Coturnix japonica: one gene and its partner. The protein of the gene in region 1 binds, or shares a complex with, the protein of each later gene. Links are inferred from orthologs where the notes say so. Each region holds a gene or a part of one and is shown in the gene's direction. Other genes may lie near its edges.

The links.
Region 2: CACNA1C (region 1) and CACNB1 share a complex: the UniProt entries of both Homo sapiens proteins name them as parts of the calcium channel complex. The link is inferred for Coturnix japonica from reciprocal best matches to the Homo sapiens genes CACNA1C and CACNB1.

What each region holds. Positions count from the first base shown.
Region 1 is NC_029516.1:51,535,210-51,542,462, reverse strand, and holds the start of CACNA1C (voltage-dependent L-type calcium channel subunit alpha-1C), read left to right. Parts: upstream 1-2,817; 5' UTR 2,818-3,323; coding exon 3,324-3,453; intron 3,454-7,253. UniProt on the Homo sapiens protein: Pore-forming, alpha-1C subunit of the voltage-gated calcium channel that gives rise to L-type calcium currents. Mediates influx of calcium ions into the cytoplasm, and thereby triggers calcium release from the sarcoplasm.
Region 2 is NC_029542.1:3,800,273-3,807,054, reverse strand, and holds the end of CACNB1 (voltage-dependent L-type calcium channel subunit beta-1), read left to right. Parts: intron 1-199; coding exon 200-219; intron 220-378; coding exon 379-459; intron 460-550; coding exon 551-609; intron 610-894; coding exon 895-1,004; intron 1,005-1,666; coding exon 1,667-1,818; intron 1,819-1,902; coding exon 1,903-1,998; intron 1,999-2,076; coding exon 2,077-2,262; intron 2,263-3,137; coding exon 3,138-3,509; 3' UTR 3,510-5,024; downstream 5,025-6,782. Other genes in the region: dickkopf-related protein 3-like, read right to left, coding at 5,247-5,301, 5,418-5,613, 5,819-5,996. UniProt on the Homo sapiens protein: Regulatory subunit of L-type calcium channels. Regulates the activity of L-type calcium channels that contain CACNA1A as pore-forming subunit.

The sequences.
Region 1 (7,253 bases):
TAGTCCAATGGAAGAATATGTTCCAGTGTGCATCTCTGATGTACTTGCCATGGGTCAAAGCAAACCTTTATTTCCAGAGCTACAGTCAGTTTCAAGGGCAAGTCATTTTCCAAACAATGCTGACATCATTTATAAACATATATTTTTTTCCTTAAAAAGAAATAAAAAAGAATTAAGAATATTTTAACTTTAAAAAGGTTTTCAATAGCATATTATTATTTTTTTCTTCTCCCTGAAGCCTGAATGTGTATTATAATCTGAATGATGACCCCAAATGGACTGGAAATACATTCGCAAACCTGAAATAAAATTGTTAATTTGCAACAATTAAAGTCTAAGCTGTTTGAATATACGTATATATATGTACGTATGTATGTACACACTTGCTGTTGTAAGAACAGACACCTTAAAAAATACCAGAATATGACCAAGTTGTTTTTTCCATCTTTTCATTTGTATTTGCCATCATTTTAGGGACAAGCAACTTCCTCATTTTTTCTACACTACCTCTTTATTTCTGAAATATAAAAACCATTTAGAAATAAGTAACTGTAAGGTGCACCACTTTTTTGGAGTTTCAGATATTCACATTTACAGCATATCTTAAATATTTGCTTTTGCCGATTTTTCCCATCCTGTTAACATGTAATATTCAACACATTAATAATATTCTCTATTTCTCCATGACAATTCCTTTTTGCTATACTCAGCTGTGACTCTGACTTAAATAACACCCTCTCTTCTGTAGAGTTGCTGCTGGAAATTCTTAAATACATCTAATTTAGATGAATACAATACAATTCAACTGACACAGCAAAGATTTTTACTACTCTCACAAAATCTCAGATGAACAGTATTAAGTTTATTCCAGTTGTGGTAGGTTCACACTTGTGAGTAGACTATACTTTCAAGTCAGGCTTCAATAGACATCTGCACCTTGTAGCATTTATCACTCACATATGACTGCTGCACTTTCACTTGTTCAAAATGGAAGGATCATCACATCTTATCATTTGGATATAAATTTAAACAAGTGTTTAAAGAATACCTTATGATCTATTTTCTTGTGTAAGTTGCAACATCATTATTTCTTCCATAAAGACAGAAGTGCCGCCTCTCTGAACTACCTTACGCTTTCTTTCTTTTACCATATACATGCACATCTTCTAAAAGCAATTTTAACCACTGAAGTTAATTATTCTGCTTTCCATAGTAGTTCAGTGACTTTTCTACTTTCTTCCAACACAAGTGTAAGTTCTTGTACAGTGGGAGAAACAGAACATACTTCTAAAATCAAGTTTGTCATGGCAAAAATAATTTAAACCGATACAATGTCCTTGTTTTAAGCATGTAATCCAACAGGTGACAGCATCACAAATTATAAAATTAATTTTATATTTGCATCTAGAGATTTCAAAATACTGAAACAGCACTGGCGCAAACCCTAAAATTCATGAGCTGCTGAGTACAGAATTTAGAGGTACGTTTCAGCACAGATTTAAAACCGTAACTGTGCACTGGGTGATCTTCATTACAGCAATGGCATATTTTCATACAGAAAGTGAAAGTGCATCATTTGATTTTACTTTGGAAGTACTACACCACATGTATGATCCTTTAGGAATAAAATATTAAAATCATCTTTTGCTTCCTCATTCTGTCCCCTCCTCCTGCTTTTAACTCTTAGTGTCAATCTAAACCTTAACTTTGTTTTCTGTGCAATAAAGACAAGCCAGGAAAAACTAAAAGCCACCACAAAAGGAGAGAGACAACAATTTAAAAAGAAACAAAACACTGCGAGCAGGTACCATACTTTACATAAAAAGACATTGTTCCTTCTTTTCTAATTATGAAAACCTGTCTACTGAGAGATGCTACACATTCCTGCGTAGAAGATTTAGTACCGTATGTCATAAAGCAAATAAACCTGAAATTTTACAGAAAGGCAGTTTGTTTGGCAGAGAGAAAAAAAATCGGTGGAGTTCATCAAACTTAAAATCTATATCCTGTCTAAGACAATGAGCAGCACCAGATGATTCACAGGAAGAACCTTTATAGTCCCTCTGCTGTTGACTTCTGACCCAAAGCATGTGTCTTACATCACTTTTTTTTTCTTCCTGGCTACAGGATCTCTGGCTGCTTTTATTCATATAAATAATCTCTCTGCTATGCAAAAGGATTACTGCAAGAGGCTCTAAGAGGCTTAGGAGTACATACGACCAAAATAATGAAGCTAGCAGGTACAAGCCTCATTTTTGGTGAAGACTGATTAAAAAAAAATATTTTATTCCACTGAGATTTTAGATTTTATCAAATTTTACCATAACAAGCTCTGCTCTGCAAAATCAACAAAGGAGTTGCAACCAGAGCCATTAAAGTAGAGCAGATACCAAATACTAAGCCCAACACACTTCGTAGTTTGTATGCCAATTTAGACAAAAAAGCAGCACTGCATTTGCAGTCTTAGTGGAATTCCACTGGAACACTAACACCGGCTTTCTGTATGTAACACATTCCTTGTCCTTTAAAGGGTATGCTATCTTATACTTGCAAAGGGTTTCTTTTTCTCCTCCTGTAATTGAAGAATATTGCTTATTTATGATTTAAGGCTTGTTTTGACGAAGACGGAGCTGATGAGGCACTCAAGAGCTTGTATTAAATCAGTAATAGACAGAAGTGGGCAGCTTGTATATGTACTGTGGGATACACTTGTTCCTATATTTATCTTTCGTGTTTTGAGAGAAGGTTACAAATATTTTTATATATATACACACACACACATAAAAGAGCGAGAGCGAGCAAGCTCACATTCCAAGAGAAGTTTTCTGGCTATGTCAGGACTGAAGTCCACCCCTTGTTAGACAAACCTATTTTTTTCAAACACAAGAGGATATTATCAGAGAAGTCCGTGCTGATACACAGAAACCAGAGATCGCCATGGCTCCGTGAGGTGACGAGCTGACGGGTGGATGGCGCCCATTATCTCCACTTCTCAGTCCTGAAAAAGTTTTCCTGAAAAACCACAAGGGGAGGAGAAGGCTCCAACGGAACATAAGGTACACAAGACAAAAAAAGGATTAGGAGAGAGGAGCAAGGAAAGGAAGAACAGTGCATTAGATATTGCGAAGGCGTCAGAGAGCTGGAAAGTAGTTTCTAGATGAAAGAACCAAGTTGTTGGTAGCTCTGGTTTTTGGTTTTGCACAAGGCTGTTACATAAAATAACTCTGCATTAGGAAACAATTGTCTAAAAGGAATTTACCTCCTTTATACTGAGAAAATATATTCAAGCTCGGTGGTTTCACAGCTCCTTGGAATTTTAAACTATGTTTCAAGCCTTGGTTCGGCAAGCATACCAACCGCTATCCAGCCACCAGCAAGGGGAATCTGAAACGAAGTACAAGGGGAAGCTGGTGCATGAAACTCAGCTCAACTGCTTCTACATCAAACCTGGAGGTAAGGGAGCACTATACATTCGTGTGCATGCAAACCGTACTGGTATCTATCTGCATGGAGAAGTATTCGCTTTCTACATAAACAGAACAGTCTGTATGATGTATGGAATAGCACTGGTAATGTCAGTAAATAGGTGGGGATAAGGTACTGCAAATTCCTGTATGTGTGGCAAGATTTAGGCAGTTTTGGTAATTTTCACATCTGTGGAGCTGAGCAAACAGAAAGCTTCTCTTGTTAACATACTGTCTTCTGAGCATACGTTGAAAGTTGCTTTTTCACTACCACTTTCGCACTGGAGTAAAAACTAAAGGCACAAGAAAGGCACAGTGGTATAAGGAACGAGAAAATAAAGAGGCTAAGAGATTTAGAACATACAAAAGTTCAAAGTATTAAGTATATACCTATTGTGTATGGGAGTGAAGTCTAAAAACCAACTAGTTCTACAATATAATCTGTCACATAATGCATTTACAGTGGCCTGGAAACATCTAGTATTTTATGCTGTGCAGGGTGGTTAAGTATGAAAGACAGAGTGTACAGGTAGTCACATGAAGATAACCCTCTAAAAGTAGAAAAAATCCATTCCAACTTTAACTCTTGAGTTTTACTGCATCATATGCCTATCTTATCTTGAAGAGATGTCCGGAATTCCCAGTGCTGGCAGTACACTCTCAGCAGTAAACGTCCAGACCAGCTAAGATGTTGCTTATGTGACAATATCCATAAATGGGAAGCAAAGACCGCTCAGCAGATATACACAGTATGAGACTCCTTCCTTTCTGTCCACAATACCATCCACAATTGCCGGATGCCTGATAGATGCCTTTAATTCTATTCCATACATTTTTCCTACCAATTTGCTTGCCTGGACAGAAAGAATTCCACCATACTCAGAATAATTATCAGCCACTAAAAAACTACTAAAAAGCTTTGTTACCTTAGCTCCTTAGTCTGCTTTTCTTCTCATGATATATATTCAAATTGGAATCCATCATCCTACATAGTTGAAAATTTACATTAGCAGTACTGTACTTCTTTCCTTGTACCTTTTATCACCATCATCGCAACTGAAACTGATAGAGCAAAAAGATGGCTGCAGTCATTATGGCTGCAGGACCTACTAGCCTGAGAAAACCAACTTCACAAACACAAAGTGTTATAAACTGTTTGCTCTTCACAGCCAAAGTCTTCCACAACTGAAAGCAAATCCTTACGTAGGACGTGTGAAGAGGAAACAACAAAACTGTCCTTAAAGTCCGAACTGAAATCCTGTATAACTGAGCTGGGCTGGGCTGGGTGAAAGGGAATATGGTTTTGCCCATTAGAAAAGATGTCTTGAGGCTAAGGTCTTCAATTTCCACTGAAAAACAAATATATTGTATCTGTAGGAAAGTGTGTTGAATAAGAAAAAGAGAAGGAAAAAGACACTTCAGAAGTACAAAGAGTTTTGCTTAAAAAACCCCACAAAAACAACCCCACAAGAACAACAAAAGGGAATGGTACAATTTGTTCTCTTGATTGAAACGCTAAAAATCCTCAACTTACAACCACTGAACTACACTTAGTTTTCATGATGAGAACAAAAAATCCAGCATACTGGAAAACAGGATCAACCAAAACCTGCTGATTATTTATTTTCCAGTAATTTTTTCATACATATATATATATATATATGCACACATATATGTGTGTGTGTGTATGTACATGTATATGTACATACATATATTCATACATACACATATATACACATACATACATATATTCATACATACACATATATACATATGTATGAATGTATATGTATATATAGACACACACAAACACATCATTTCTTAACAAATAAACAACCAATTAATCCTGTCCCTTTTCAGAGGTCACACTGTAAAAATCCAATCAATTTCCATGGCATCAAGCAGAGTTTAGCTATAGATTTCAAAACCAGATTCATCTGGTTGTACACTCTAAAACATGCATGCTAGCTAATTGCTAGAGAAAAGACAGGCCTTAGAAGTCTCCTGTCTTAGGCCAGCACTACTGCACACCCATCTACACTCGCGTGCAAAATACGGTTTAATTATGCTATAATGTTATCATATTGTTTTTACATCTCTACAGGTAAACTTTAGGGATTTGTAGGTAGCCTTGAAAATTAGTATGTGAGAGAGAAAGGCCAACATTTGATATAGAAATACAACTACTTTGTGGTTTTAAGCATGAAAGTGAAAAGCAATACCACTTCCTGTAGTACAATTATCAGCAGTTGTAATTGGCGTACAAGCTCCTTATAAGACAAAAAATATCAAAATGTACAGTCACTATGCAACAGACAAGTAAATAAACAAGAAGGGATAAATTTGCTTGGAGAAAATTTGCATACAACCAACTATAAGACACTTAAGGCCCACAGATGCTAAAACAGGTTTTTAAAAACATGCATGCAACATGACTGTTAATCCTGTCAGTCAACTTAATTTTCTGATTTTAGAAACAACACTGCAACGTTAATGTACTTTTGGTATGAATATTTTCCTTTAAAAAAAGGAAAAATAACATCTGTTAGGACGTTATTTTAATATATAACATTAGAATTTGACTGTTCTCAGCAAAACCGAGGTTTCAGTAAGAGGTGAATAACATCCCTAGAGGACAATCCTGACCTCGGCTGCTGTTCCTGCCCAGCTGGAGGCAGGATGAATTTTTGTCATGTTGATCAAAGGAGAGGTGGTGGGAGGCAAAGGAGGAGGAGCTACTTGTTTATTTTTCCAAGAGAAAAATGTCTCCCAAGGACAGTACCTCAGGTAAAACACACACATTTGTATTCTGAGCAAATGTCAATGGTTGATCCAGGCAAGCTTTCAGAAAAAAGTCATCCAAATCTGGTTAGCAAGAAGAGATGTATAATACTGAATTATAGAATATATAATTTATAACAGAACAAGAATAAATTTCAAGGTAAAGCAGACACTTATTCATGCCATATTCAGTTTTACACATCACTCAAATTCTATTACTGTGGTCTCGTCTTTTTTTCTAGGGAAGTACATCTCTCATATTCTAACCAAGCTGCTCCTTACAAGAGAAATATTACCATTAGTCTACCTGTGGGATCAATCAGTCTTCCAACATTCCTGCAGAATCAGGACACGTTACCTATTCAGTATATGTTTATATACAATATAGAAATATTGGAAGAGTTAACGAAAGGGACCTGAATTAGTCTCTCAAGAGGATGAATTCTTCTGTTTAAGACTTCTAATCCCACCTACTAGAAGTCTTTGCAGTGTAGAAATATAGGAAATCGATATCAATTGTTTAGGGTTCTGACAAACATAAAGTGGCAAGTTAAACTGGACAACTGAAATTACTACGAGGCAGCTTTAAACGAGCACGTCTGGACTGCCTATGTAGCACTTCCTGGACTAATGCAAAACCTGATATTCATATAACGTGTCACATCTGGGTAGAAAGCTTCATTCACTTTCAGTCTTACTAGATAGTGCGACGAAAAGCCTTGCTACAGATGTGACTCACAATGCACAAATGGGCATAGAATCTGGTCAGATTCTATTTGTAGATTTGGTGAGAATATCTGTAGAGCTTTCACTGTTTCTTTCTCCACTTCCTGTAGTACAGTAATCAGCAGTAATAACTGGCATACAAGCTCCTCATAAGCTGGATCTAATATATTTTTCTGGCAGCAAAACACACAAGGTGTACTGAGCTCTAAGATACGCAACTTTCCTCAAGTACTCCATGTCTTATAAGCATGAAAAACAGTATTCAGTGATGAAATGGTACAT
Region 2 (6,782 bases), on another chromosome or scaffold:
ACCCCAATGCTAATCAAGAGTAGGATAGCATTAATACAGAATGAGTCCACTGGCCCGATCTCCCTTTGCCATTGGAGCTGTGCCCCCCCTGGGCTCCCTGGTAACCCCCCAGCCCGGTTTGGGGCCTGAAGCCCCCTCCCACAGTAACACGCATGCCTTGTTTGTCTCCCCCTGCCCGCCCCGGCGCCTCGGGACGTAGCGAAACAGAAGCAGAAATCGGTGAGTAGCGTCGAGAGCCCTGGGTTTGGGGCAGGAGAGGAGGGGGGAATGGGTTTGCTGCCACTCCTGGGGCCTCCCCATCCCTTGGCATCACCTCGGGCTCCTGCTGTGCCCCCTGGCCCAGCGTGAGCCCCCTGACCCCCTGATGCTGCCCCACAGACTGAGCACGTGCCGCCCTACGATGTGGTTCCCTCTATGAGGCCCATCATCCTGGTGGGGCCATCGTTGAAGGGCTACGAGGTGAGGAGCGGGGCTGGGGGGGGAACCCAGGGTGGGGGACACACAGAAGATGATCACAGCAGTTCCATGCGTTCCTCCTCCCCTCCCACAGGTGACAGATATGATGCAGAAAGCACTGTTTGATTTCTTGAAGCATCGCTTTGATGGCAGGTGAGGCAGGAGGTGGCGGGGCCTTCTGCCACTTGGGGGGGCACTCAGTACCACTGGGGGGCCCTCAATCTCACAAGAGGGGCCCTTACCCCACAGGGGACCTCTAAGTCCCATTGAAGACTCATAGCTCTATGGAGGCCCTCACCCCCTTCCCTGGTTTGAGTGGGGTCTGCCCCCAAGGAGGAGACTTGGGGGTAGCTCCCAAGAGCTGGGGGGAGGCTCCTGTGGGAAGCAGATGTTTGATGGGGGTATTTGGACCCCCACCAACCTGTGTCCTTCCCATAGGATCTCCATCACGCGGGTGACAGCCGACATCTCCCTCGCCAAGCGCTCTGTGCTCAACAACCCCAGCAAACACACCATCATCGAGCGCTCCAGCACACGCTCCAGCCTGGGTAAGGCAGGTGCAGCATCTCAGCCACCCCCAAGCTCCCATCTGTATCAGCCCAGCAGCCTCCTGCTCCCATCCCCTCCCTCCTGGGACGCTCAGTGTGTGTCCCTCCTTCCTGCACAGCCCCTCCACACTATGGGGTGATGGGTGCGTGGGCCAAAGGGCACCTGGGACCCTCGGCTCCCACTCTCAGTTTGACTCAGTCTCTCTTCCCCTCCTCCTTTTTACCTTCTCTCTCTCTTTTCTTTTTCTTTCTTTTTTTTCTTTTCTCCTTTCCCTTTTGGGGTTCCTCCCCTCTGCACCGCTTCCTTCCTCCCCTGCTCCTGATACAGATGTCTTGGGTATGTAGCGTGTGCTCCTCGGGTAACGTGGGGTTGGGGACAGCAGGGGGTGCAGCCCCAAGGGTCCCTGTCCCCCCCCAACCTGCAGGGTCTGAGCGCAGCCTCTGCAGGCACCCACCCAATGCATGTGTCTGGGGGGGTCTCAACCCCTTCCTGCCCCAGCAGTGCCACCTCCCATCCATGGGCTGGGGTGCTGCTGGTGTGGCTGAGCCTCTCCTGGCCCCATCCTGCTCCCCACACCCACATCTCCAGCAGCTGTCCCTGCAGCCCCCCCTGTGCTGTCCCTGTGCCTTCATGACCCCCTTCTGTCCCCCCACTCTGGCAGCTGAGGTGCAGAGTGAGACGGAGCGCATCTTCGAGCTGGCCCGGACCCTACAGCTGGTGGCCTTGGATGCCGACACCATCAACCACCCAGCCCAGCTGGCCAAGACCTCCTTGGCACCCATCATTGTCTACATCAAAATCGCTTCCCCAAAGGTGAGGGGGGGGCCGTGGGGTGGGCAGGTGTGGGACCGAGGTCCCTGTGCCCCCCACCCCCCACCGCCCTCCATTCTGCCCCAGGTGCTGCAGCGATTGGTGAAGTCCCGGGGCAAATCCCAGGCCAAGCACCTCAACGTGCAGATGGTGGCCTCCGACAAGCTGGCTCAGTGCCCCCCTGTGAGTGCCCCCCGCCCCCCCCCCGCCTGCCCCTGTAAGCCCCCCCCCCCCCTCACACTGCACTCTCCTCCCCCCCAGGAGATGTTTGACATCGTGCTGGACGAGAACCAGCTGGAGGAGGCCTGTGAGCACCTGGCCGAGTACCTGGAGGCCTATTGGAAGGCAACTCACCCCCCCAGCAGCAACCCCCCCAACCCGCTGCTCAACCGCACCATGGCCACAGCCGCCCTGGCCGCCAGCCCTGCGCCCGTCTCCAACCTGCAGGTACAGGTGCTCACCTCCCTGCGCAGGAACCTGGGCTTCTGGGGCCGTGGGGGCACCGACGCCACCCCCAGCCCCCAGGAGGAGCACGCGCTGTGAGATGGAGGCAGGGCACCCGTGGGACCTCCCCCAGGGGTCAGGGACACCCCCAAGGGTCAGGGGCACCCTGTGTTTTGGGGACACCCCAGGGAACAGCTGCATCCCTGGGGTTGCCCCCCTCCTCCAGGGCTGTGCTCCCTGCTCCATGGTTGATGCCACCCCTGTGCCCCTGGAGTCACCCCCCTCCCCTCCCTACTGCCCCAGGATCTGCTCCCCCACCCCAGGTTTTGGGGCCATCCATCCCCCTGTGGTGAGGTTCTGCTCTCCCTGGATCAGGGTCACCCTTTGGGATCTGCCCCCTGGGGTTGGAGTCTCTCTGGGGATCCATGTCCCCTCCTCACAGCTCTGGGGAGCTCTCCTGGGTTAGTTCCCCAGGGAACTTCTGGGGGGGTTGAGCCCCTGGACACCCCTGACCCCCCTGGGTCTGGCAGAAGAGACCATGTCCAAGCCAAGGGGGGCCCGCAGCCCCCCCAGGGCAGCAGGCAGAGGAAGGACGTGTGTCCTGTGTTGTCTGTCGCTGCACTGCCCCAACCCCACCACCTCCCTGTTGCCCCCCATACCCTCTCACTGCTCTGGCCCTGCCCTGGTGCCCCCTCCCCGGTGCTGGATGAGACCCACATCTGGGCTGCATGGCACGGAGTGTACAGACCGGGCTGGGGTGGGAGCGCATGTGCCCCCCCCTTACTCACCAAGCCCCGCAGTGTGCAGCATCTAACAACCCCCCCCCTCACTAACCCATCCATCAGTCCTTGCACGGTGTGGTTGCTTCTCCCAACCAGGGTACCTACCTGGTGCACGGGGAGCCGCCGGGCGAGGGGAACCTCCGGGAGGGGGGGCCCATCCCACCGCCTGCCCGCTCGGCCCCCCCCCGCCGCCTGTCCCGCCAGGACACCTTCGACTCGGAGACCCCCGGCAGCCGGGATTCAGCCTGCACAGAGCCCGGCAACTCCTGTATGGACGTCGAGACCGATCCCGGTGAGGAGGACCCCCGAGCCCCCCCAGCCCATCGCGGTGCGTGGGATGAGGAGCGGGGCCAGGGACCACGGGGACGTGCCAAGGGCCACGACCGCTACTGCCCGGAGCCGACGGAGCCTTTGGGTCTGGACCAGAGTGATGCAGAGGGCTGGGGCCAGGAGGTTTACATCCGCTAGGGTGGGGGGGGTGTAAGCAGGGATGCCCCCTCCCCACTCTGCCCCAGTGCTGTGGCTTTGGGGCCAGGGGTTGCACCCCACTGGGTGCCTTCGCAGGCCACGTGCCCAATGCCTGTTCAGCTGTGCCATGGGGTGTCCCCCGCCCCACTTTTGGTATTGAGGAGGGAGTCTCCCTCCCACTGCAGCCCCCCCAGCATCCTGCGATGCCTCGGGCCTTTCCTGTCCCACAGGGAGAGCAAGTGACCAAAGGGGACATGCCTATGGCTGGTGTGTCCCCGTCCCCTATGGCACAGGGTGGGGGGCTGCGCTCTCCTCCCTCCCCAGCCCTTTGCCTGCTGCCTGCCCGCAGCCCCCTCCCCAGGGTGCACCCGCTTCTTCATGGTGCTCTATGCCACCCTGCTGCAGGGGGACCCCTGAGCTGGTGTGTGTTTGGGGGGGGGTTTCTCTGCCTGCTGTTCCCTCCCCAGCCAGTGCCTGCCCTGTAGCTGTGGGGGGGGTGCATGCGTGTGCCATGTGTGCAGGGTTTTGGGATCCCCACTGGGTGCTGCCTGCCTGGGGTGGGGAGGGGGGGGGGGCATGGTCTTTGCATGTGTTTGCATTGGAATGGGGGTGGGCTTTGCCTGTTTTTGGTGTTAGGGGGTGAATCTGAGCCAATCTGGGTGGTGGTGGTGGGGGGGTGTTTCTAACACGTGCTAACAGCTGCCCCAGCCCTGGCCTGACACAGTGCCCAGCAGGTCCCGGGGGGGGTCCTGTGCTTACCCCTCCCTCCCCCCCCCTTTTCCTGGGACCATGGGGCGCACTGAGCAGCACCAGGCCCTGCCCCCCAGCCCTGCCAACCCCCTCTGTGCCACCCCCTTTCTGTGCCCATCTGCTCTTTCCCCATCCAGCTGTGTCTGTGTGCCTGTCTGTCTGTCTGTCTGTCTGTCCCCCACCTCAGCTCCCCAGGGCCCTGCCTTCACCTGCGCCCACCCTGGGGTGTCCCTTATCCCTCTGCCCCTATAGGGGTCACAGCACTGCAGTGGGAACACCCCATGGCCAACCCTTGCAGTGGGGCTGGACTCACCTCTCACCGATGCTGTGGGGTGGGGGGGCCCTGGTGTTGCTGCCTTACCCACACCACCAGCCTTGCCAGCCCGGGCCGGGGGGGCTCCGGGGCTCTCAGCTCTGCCGCTGCCAAACCAGCTCTGCCCGTTGTGTGCCTCAGTTTCCCCTTTAATGCTGGGGGGGGGGACTCGGTGTCACTGCCTGCCAAGTGCTTTGAGACCCACCTGCACCGGTGCTGACCCCACCAGGGCCGGGCAGCTGGGCCCCCCCCCACCCCCCTTTACAACCCCCAGCCCTCCTGAAGGGCAGAGGGACGTCCCGTATTTATGTCATCCCCCCAAGTTTATTTAAAGACCCCCGACAAAGTGTCTTTTATTTATTTATTCTCCTTTAATGTGTGTGTGTGTGTGTTTGGGGGGGGGGGGACTCGCCCCGCTCGCTTGGTTCTTTGTAATAAACAATTCAGTGAGATCTCCCCTTGGCTGTGCCTGGTGGGGGTCCATCATTTGGGGGGGGGGTCCATCATTAAGGGGGGGGGGCTGAGACCATGCACAGCTCAGCTCTGCAATGACTGCAGCCTCCCCTGGGGGGGGTTGAGAGCAGCCGGGTCCTGCCCAGCTCCTGGGGGGGGACACGTCCTGCTTTATGGGGGCTGTACATCTATTTACATGGAATAAATACAGCGCTGCTGGCTCAGGGCTGCCGGCACCTCCATTCGCTCTTCTCTGGCCAATATTCAAACGCTTTCCTGCAGGGAGACATGAGGACATCAGTCCCTGCTTTAACCCCCCCCCCCCCTTGGTACATGGGGACATCAGACCCCTCCCCACGGGGCTGCTCAGAGCCCCCCATGGCCGTACTCACTCTCGTGGTGGAGGCGATGCTCGGCACACCAGCCCAGCCTGGCAGGGGCAAACCTGGTTGATGCTGAAGGCCAAACCCCCGGGGGGCACATGGCAGCTCTGCCCCAGCTCCAGCCGCTGCTGGCACAGCATCTCACCGTGTCTCCGTGCACAGCAGCCGCCCGGCCCGCAGTCCTCATCCCTCTGGCACCGAGCTCCTTTGGGGTCGGGATAAAGAGGATGTTAAAGGGGTTAAGAGCCCCCCAGCCCCGTGCCATGAGCCCTTGGGGGGGTGGGTTGCAGTGTGTCCCGGTGCCCGCAGCAGCTCTGATGGAGGATAATGGTACCAACCCCGCCTCCATCGCATCCCTCCGCTCCCGGGGCTGCCCCCCAACCTCCCCCCTACCCCGACCCGCTGCTCACCCTCCTGCCCGTGGGGCACGGGCTGCTGGCACTTCCCAAAGGTGCAGAGGAGCCCGTGGGCGCAGTGTGTGTCCCGGCGGCAGTACTGCCCTGCGGGCCGGGTGGGCAGGCACAGCCCGAAGTGCTCATCGCAGAAGTGTCCGTGGGTACAGGGGGTCGTGGGGCCGCACGGTGTCACCTGCATTGGGGAGAGAGCAGAGCTGTGGGGTCAGGGGGGTCCGGATCCATCCCCACCTCTGGGATGGGTCAGAAATGGGTCCGGAGGGGCAGAACGGGGTGGGATTGGGTTTGGGTTCTGCTAATGGAGCCGGGGCTGCTCAGGGGGGTTATTTAGGAGCCTCGGGGTCCTCGGGCACCATCCCTGGAAGAAGGGCAGGATGAAGGAAAATAAAACCCGGAGCGTAACGAGCCGGGGGTGGGATTTGGGGTGGGGGATTCTCGAATCACTTTGTCAGCCCGTAAAATTCCTGCTCCAGGTGAGGCTCGAACTCACAACCTCGGCATTGCTCCGCGTACTGCCCTATAAGTACCGCGCGCTGACCGATTGCGCCACTGGAGCGCACAGTGCCGCCCGGGGACCCTGCGCCCCCTCCCGACCCGAGCCGACCCCGCAGCCACCATCATGTTATCCATTAATTATCCATTATCCATTAATTATCCATTATCCATTAATTATCCATTATCCATTATCCATTATCCATTATCCATTATCCATTATCCATTATCCATTATCCATCCATCCATCCATCCATCCATCCATCATCCCGCATCCATTATCCATCCCTCCATCCCTCCATCCCTCCATCCATCCATCCATCCCTCCATCCATCCATCCATCCATCCATCCATCCATCCATCCATCCATCCCTCCATCCCTCCATCCATCCATCCATCCATCCATCCATCCTCCATCTCATCTCCCATCCCTTCCATCCCCACATCCTCCATCTCATCTCCCATCCCT